Linked DNA regions of Drosophila melanogaster. The protein of the gene in region 2 purifies or fractionates together with the protein of the main gene of each other region. This does not show direct contact. Each region holds a gene or a part of one and is shown on either strand. Other genes may lie near its edges. The genes, in order: retinin and His4r.

The links.
Region 1: the proteins of His4r (region 2) and retinin purify together in Drosophila melanogaster (affinity purification with mass spectrometry, with the first as the bait; one large-scale study listed by BioGRID). This does not show direct contact.

What each region holds. Positions count from the first base shown.
Region 1 is NT_037436.4:16,329,816-16,333,393, forward strand, and holds retinin (retinin), read left to right. Parts: upstream 1-2,117; 5' UTR 2,118-2,164; coding exon 2,165-2,176; intron 2,177-2,235; coding exon 2,236-2,799; 3' UTR 2,800-2,974; downstream 2,975-3,578. Other genes in the region: CG33061 (uncharacterized protein), read left to right, coding at 43-329, 435-707, 768-1,056; CG33060 (uncharacterized protein), read left to right, coding at 1,587-1,952; CG13056 (uncharacterized protein), read left to right, coding at 3,520-3,534.
Region 2 is NT_033777.3:14,623,765-14,627,402, forward strand, and holds His4r (histone H4 replacement), read left to right. Parts: upstream 1-1,990; 5' UTR 1,991-2,051; exon of another isoform or gene 2,052-2,261; 5' UTR 2,262-2,285; coding exon 2,286-2,465; intron 2,466-2,529; coding exon 2,530-2,661; 3' UTR 2,662-2,840; downstream 2,841-3,638. Other genes in the region: put (punt), read right to left, coding at 1,436-1,481; CG7886 (uncharacterized protein), read right to left, coding at 3,246-3,638. UniProt on the Drosophila melanogaster protein: Core component of nucleosome. Nucleosomes wrap and compact DNA into chromatin, limiting DNA accessibility to the cellular machineries which require DNA as a template.

The DNA.
Region 1 (3,578 bases), on a different chromosome or scaffold from region 2:
GAAGTCTCCGAAAAGGAGTGCGGGCAGCTAGCTAATCGAGGGATGAATGCTCGGCTGATCCTGAGGCAGCTTCCCAATCACTTGATCTTTCGCATCCTGCACTATTCCCTGATCTCCCAGCAGCTGCGGGACGAGCTGGTAGTTTCTGCAGGATCATTCAGATTAAAAGGTGGTGGAAACAAGGTGCTGGAGTGGCAGCCCTTCGTCCTGTGGCTTGCCAACCTGCTGCTGAACTACGCTGGCGATATACTGGGCAACCTGCTCTTGGGTAGTCTTCCATTGGAGCCACTGTGCAATACCGCAGATGTCATGCTCAGTTCGTTGATCTGGTGAGTGGGATCTATTGCGCTCAATAAATTAAAATTACATAGTTCACTGGTGCGTGAGGAACATATTTATTTTGTTTATATGAAGCTTTGTTTCCACTCAAAAAGGTACTGCATCTTTTACTGTCCCTTTGACCTGGCCCACGCCGTGACCAGCACTTTGGCCTTTCGCATCCTGGCCACCGCCATGTCTACGATTAGCCAGGTTCAGTTGATCGATCGAGGAGTCCATTTGGCGGCACAGGTCTACGGAAATGCTCCAATCCCGATGCTAGTGGTTGGCACCGTCATGGGCAGTGGAGCCGAAGTACTGAAACCGGTGGCGAGTCTTTTAATCAATAGATGTCAACACAACCAGATGGCATACCTGAAGTTGAGCAAGTCTGTTACACTAAACTAATAAATAATGAAATCGAAAACTTAATATTTCCTTTTTTACAGCACTTCAAAAGTTGCACTTTTCATCTCCCTCCTCTTCATGTTGGAAGTCTATAAAAGTCCAATAATTATGGGCATTAACAGGCATCAACTTATGGTCTACATACTGGTGATGACCACCGCCTTTAAGTTCCTGTCGCTGTGCTATCGAACGGATCATATAATTTGGCTATTGGAGCAACATATACGGTACACCCTCTTTGGTGGCCTCTCCAGGGATTTAACCAAGTTCTTCCAACGCCTGCTGGAGCCTAAAGTCCAGCGAACGTGGGCGTATGCGGAATTTGATTGAGACCCTCGTGTGCATTGCGCAATCGTATCAAACTACACGCTCTCCACATCCCCGCCAGATTGGGTGGTTAGGGTGTTGGGGCTGCAGGTCTAAGCGGCTTAAGTTACCGCCCCGTCCAGCCAAGCGATTGGATCACTGCAGCAGATGTCTCGCTTGATCGGGTTACGTATGCTAATCAGCTTAGAATCGCCCACTGGTGGTCAGAGGAGCGTTGGAGCAGTGGGCAAAGCGAAGGAAGTGCTCGGTTACGGCCACAGGTTAGTGGATGCTACAGTGTGCTCACCCAGCTGTCGAGTAAAATTCATGCCTGACTATAAATTCGTGCATTTCAATAAAAACTATAAAACTAAACAATGAAATGATTTCTTGAATTTGCTAGATATGAATATAAATAGTCTTAATATGAGTTAAGTAATTCCAAACTGTTTTTAAAATATTCCTCATAATATATTTTTTATCAGAAAGCATGCATTGTTTAATCTGCCCTTTTCCATGTTATATTTCCATGTTCGAACAGATAACTTACCAACATGTCACTCCAAAAAAAAGTTAATACCCGCAAGAATGTGAAACCAAGTCCGAATAAGACTAAGAAGAATCCATCTGCCATCATCTCGATCCTCTGTCCAGATGGCGATAAGCCCAATAAGGAAGCCAAGCCCAAGAAGAACGGCGGGTCGGAAGAATTTCAGGCCAAAGAATGTCCCCGAACGAAAAGCTTCAAGCCACCAGAAGAGAGGCGAATATTTCTGGAGCAGGAGGTGGTTCCCATTCTAATGGAGGGCATGTTGGGATTGGCCCGGGAAATGCCCCGCGATCCCATCGGTTATCTGCAGAAGTTTTGGCTTGACGACAAGCACAAGTGTGACATTCCATTGCCGCAGAATATTCTTTAACATATAGCTCTGATGTAACCCAATCAAATTTCAAATTGTCAGCTAATTAAATGTTTTTGATTCGACGTTAAGCTTACGCAATGATGCATTTCTTTGATCAGTCAGGCGAAGAGATTCTGTACCGATTTAAGGGCTATAAAAGCAGATATTCCAATCTCAAACTGCATCATTCATTTCACAGTTTGCGGATCTAAAGGAAGACTGCTATAATCATGTCTAGATTGGTGAATTATTTCTTACTTTCATTGAGGGAAAAATTTATTCAATATATTCAACATTTCAGTTCCTGCCCGTCTTGGCCATTGTGCTGGTCTCCATCGGAGCTTCGCATACAGCCAGCTTGGAGTGGCCCTCGAATCTTGTGGCTCTCAGTTCGGTCAAGTCCTCGCAGCTGCTTCCGATTGCCAGCGAGGATTCCGTTGAGTTGGCCGATGGCAGTTCGGGGTCCGTCAGCTCATCCGCTGCCCAGCCGGAAGATCAATCCCAGGAGGAGGCGGAAGAGCAACAGGTCTCCTCCGCATCCAGTGGCAGTGCCGATCCGATTAGTGGCCGTCTTGTCTCTGCCGGAATTCCCGTCTCTGTGCCTCTTCCTCTGATCCTGGCCGCTCGTAATGGACTACGAACCGTATTGACCATCCAGGAGCCAGCCGTGGCCAAGGTGGGCGAGGTGGTGCAGCACGTGCCCACTGCCGTTTCGCATCAGACCCAGACGGTGGTGCACGATCACCGCCGATTGGTCACACCCATTGTGGCACCCGCTGTTCGCACCACCCAGGTGATTCGCCAGCAGCCACCACTTCTGTGGAGCGTGGCCTCCGATCCCCGAGTGGTTCTCATCCGCAACTAAGGATCCATTCAACAGATTAACACGATGAACTCGCCAAAGCTATGATACTTCTATTCTTAACTCCCTTTCTGGACCTAATAACCCACAAAAAGCTTTCTCCTCTACGTCTTCTTTCTTCTGCCATTTTCTGTAGATTTCTTCTGTAGCGTGCTTTCAATAAAGATTTCGCATTTGCATTTAAAAGGTTTTTGTGCTTTGCTTATTGGTTATTCTTTTCCTACCTCATTTCCAAAATAAACCAAAAAGAAGGGTATATTATGGCTTGAGTAACTTTTTAAAACTTCCTCTTCTCAATCAAATTTGCTAGCCCAGTCAAATCTATGTCTTTACCCATCTTATGTAAAATTATTGTCCTGCATTTACGTATTACGAACCCATTGCATTTTCACTTATCTGGCTCGGATTCTTGGGCGTTGTTGGTGCGACAGGAAATCAATAAAGTTAACACAGAGACCAGCCCACGACCACAATAAATATGCCACATCCGCCCCCCTGTTCCCAGCGAAATCTCAAATTGTGTGCAATCAAGATCTCTGGAGGATTAGGCTGGCACAGGGTCTGGGTTAACGCCCAAGCTCATGTTCTCATGTTCAAGGGCTGGGACCATTCATTTAGAATGGCTAGTCCATTCTCCAATCTTGAGTACTCAGCTCGACTATAAAAGCGGAGGATGGAATGGCCAACGAACAACAGTCAAGTGAAGTGAACTGAAGCAAGAAGATGTCACAGAGAATGGTAAGCAAAGAGGAATTAGGCTTCTTAATAATATTTTAAATGTA
Region 2 (3,638 bases):
AAACATGAGTAAAGACTTTCAAAAAGTTAAAACGTAGTTAAAGATCAAAGTTAATGGAATTATCGGTTGGAAGTGCTCAAAGGGTGGGCAAATAAAGTCGAGCCTATTTGGGGAATAAGACTGAAAGGGAGGGCGCTCAGCGAGCTCTTTGTGGGCGCTATCCTTTGTACACATATCGCATGCCCAGAAGTAGCAGGAGTAGCGTCCTAAGCTGGGGCCTCTGCCATTGAAAGCCACCCCATTTGGGCACGGAATTAGCCCCACTGGCCACACACCAGCCTTTGAGTGGGCATGGCCCCAATGCACGGATATGCAGTGCACAGTGGGCCTGCAGTAAGGTTTCTTGAAAATCTATTTACATTCTTTAATTCGATTTAATCTGGGATCCTCATCCAAATACCGAAATTTTTGTTGATAAAAATTAAAATGATAATTCACTTTTTAAATGTGTAAATACAAAAAATTTAATTTTGAAAACGTTTATTGCAACGAGCCTGCGATATATTGATTGATATTTCTTGACCATTGGCTAAGCAAACTGTTTTCAATCCTTTGAAACACTTTTCGTCCCACTGTCCTTTAGGTAATCGGATCGCTGGCCATGTATGTGTGTGTTCGTAAGCGTGCATGCTTTATAGTAAAGTAGATACATAAGCAGGCACATTATGCACACAGAAAGGGATGGGTTTAAAGTGGCGCTTGTGCGGAAAAAGGAAACAGCAGCAGCAGAAACAACAACAACAACAGCAGCAACAGGGAAGAGAGCGCACTGCGCCACAGAAAGAGAGAGGGCTATGGCGAGCGAAAGAGAGGGAGGCCGGTGGAGCAAAAGGGTGGGAGAAACCAGAACCTGCCATACAACAAGTTCCTAATGCAGCAAAATCCATTCAAAGAAATGCTCAGCGCACACACACATGGATTAAGATTGGGAATTAGGTATCCGATCGATTTATACCGAGTATGCGTTTGGCGCTCAACATATGAATTCGTAGTACCCACTGTCAACAATTCTTACGATATTTTACTACATTTGTGTAGTACAATTGTTGGTGCTTTAATAGAGTATCTAGTGTATACATTATTCACTTCACAAATAGATTTGATTCCTAGCATTTACATTCGTTATACCTAATTTCTGAAAATTTAAGATGTTCTGATGTGTTGGTTAATAGGACAAAGCTATCACAAAGCCTATACACCCTATATATGAACTTTTCAAGCGCCATGTGATATTAATAAAGTAATAGCATTACGCACCCCATATCATCAAAAATCACACGCACGAATGGTTATAAATCGAAGTCGGCTTGCATTACAGAGGAAAATCGTAAGGCAGAGACAAAATATAATATTATGTACATATGTACATAATAAAGCGACTGGGAATTAAGGCGCCAATAAGTATGCACCCACACACTCGCAGTGCAATACATACCCAGCGTTAGCTGCGCCGTTAGATAAAGCAGATCGTATTTGGACATTGTTATCGCCTGTGCAAACTTGTTTACAGCACTCGTTGCGTATACGTAACGCGAATATTTCGATGTTTCGGGGACAGGTGCAGTGGAATGGAATAACTGGGTACTGTTAATATTATTTTGGCACAGAGTTCCTGTTGTCTTCGCACTTTTCGAGTACAGCACTAAGTGTGTATGTGTGGGTGGCCGAGTGTGTGTGCGGTGCCTTGGCAGCGATTTTGCTGGCCACACGCCGTTTGCATGCGCATTTCCGCGGGTTTTACTCGACTTTTCGCCGCGACTTAATTTTAAGCTAGAGGGGCACAGTTGAAAAAGTATATGCGCGCTGCACTTTTTCGTTTTTCGCAGGTCTGCGGGCCTGTTTTCAAGCGATTTTAGTGCGAGCACGTCTTTCGGTTCGATTAAATCTTTTTTGTCGCAACGGGGCGGCGATAGCGATGGCCGATAGGCGATAACTGACCAGGGCTGGTAGTGAGACAATAGAAATACTAGATACGCGCATTTTGCGAAAGGTATTTTGAGGTGTGCGAGATCTGGTCACGCTCACAAGCAATTTTCTGGAGATTTCTTGAAGTGAGTTTTGTTGCTGAGAAATTTAAGTAAATAATAGAAGAATCGGTCAACAAAGTTTTTTTGTGCATAAACATAAAAAAAATAATTGGAGACCATTATTTTGTATGAAAACAGACTTATTAACAACAGTTTTCACCTGTCAAATGAACGTTTACCTTTCACCAAACATGGCGTCGCTTTACAGTTTATTGCGTCTTCTCTTCTTTTCAGCCAACTTTACGAAGCAACTGAGAAATGACTGGTCGTGGAAAGGGAGGCAAAGGATTGGGAAAGGGGGGCGCCAAGCGTCATCGTAAGGTGCTTCGTGATAACATCCAGGGTATCACCAAGCCTGCTATTCGCCGTTTGGCTCGTCGCGGCGGTGTTAAGCGTATCTCTGGCTTGATTTACGAGGAAACTCGCGGTGTGCTAAAGGTACGTTCTGGCGAAACGAAGGGAAAGTGGTGAAAAACTGATTAATTTCTCGGAAAATTCACAGGTATTCCTTGAGAACGTTATCCGTGACGCTGTCACCTACACCGAGCACGCCAAGCGCAAGACCGTGACCGCCATGGACGTGGTCTATGCCCTCAAGCGCCAGGGACGCACCCTTTACGGATTTGGCGGTTAAGCACGCCCTCTAACCTCCACATAATAAATAACCATGGAGTTAACTTAACTACATTCAAAATACTTGATCCAATTGAATCTTAATCAGTAGTATTCAACGCAAACTTAACCGAACGCAAATATTTTATAATTTCACAATATACGGACTAAATAAATCAAAAGATATCACATAGAGAACTCAATATCATGCATATGTGCATTTTGACTTGGGGCGGTTAATCATCCGAAAATAAGGTCCAACAAACTCGCTTAGGGAGCACACAAATAATAAATCTTTAATGGAAATTAGTAAGACCAAAGTATATTTTTGTACATTTTTGGTGCAGCTTGAATTCGCAGATGGCAGGACGTGCAAAAAGGAGCAGGTTCCCTTTTCTACTGCTACTGCCCGGGAGTATGACTGCAAATTTAGCTCTCCCAGTGGGGATCCTATCGAATCGAGTTGGCTGCTTTGTTGTGGGTGTGATGGTGGTGGTAGTGGTGTTGTTGTTGTTACTGCTCGGCGTATCAGCCAGCTGTGGTGTCGCTGCTCCGGCTGCGAATGGCTGCGGGGATTTTGAATGGAGGAACCTAAAGTCACGACCCCTAGGCGCTCTGCTCCCGCTGCTTCTGGAGCTGCAGGGACATGTAGACATTGGCCGGGGATATGACATTTTGGTCGCCGAAATCGCCAGAGCCTCCACCACCGCCGGCATCTCCGTCGCCGGCCTCTTCTGTGAGTGACATGGACTCCGATTGCTTGCGCCGCACAAAGACATGCATGGAGGAGTATTTCGAGCTACTAAGTAACGTGGAGTCCGTCGCCTCCGTCTCGTAGTCTGAGTTCTCCAGCGTAACGTCCGTTGAGGAGAGTTCTTCGGAGCGGGACATATACGACGACTCCATGTGCATGTCGCCGACTGGTACCTGAAGATCGTCCTCAGGCCGAGGTTTAAGGCGCTTTTTCCCCGTTTTACCAGCATTCGCTTGTCGTTCCAG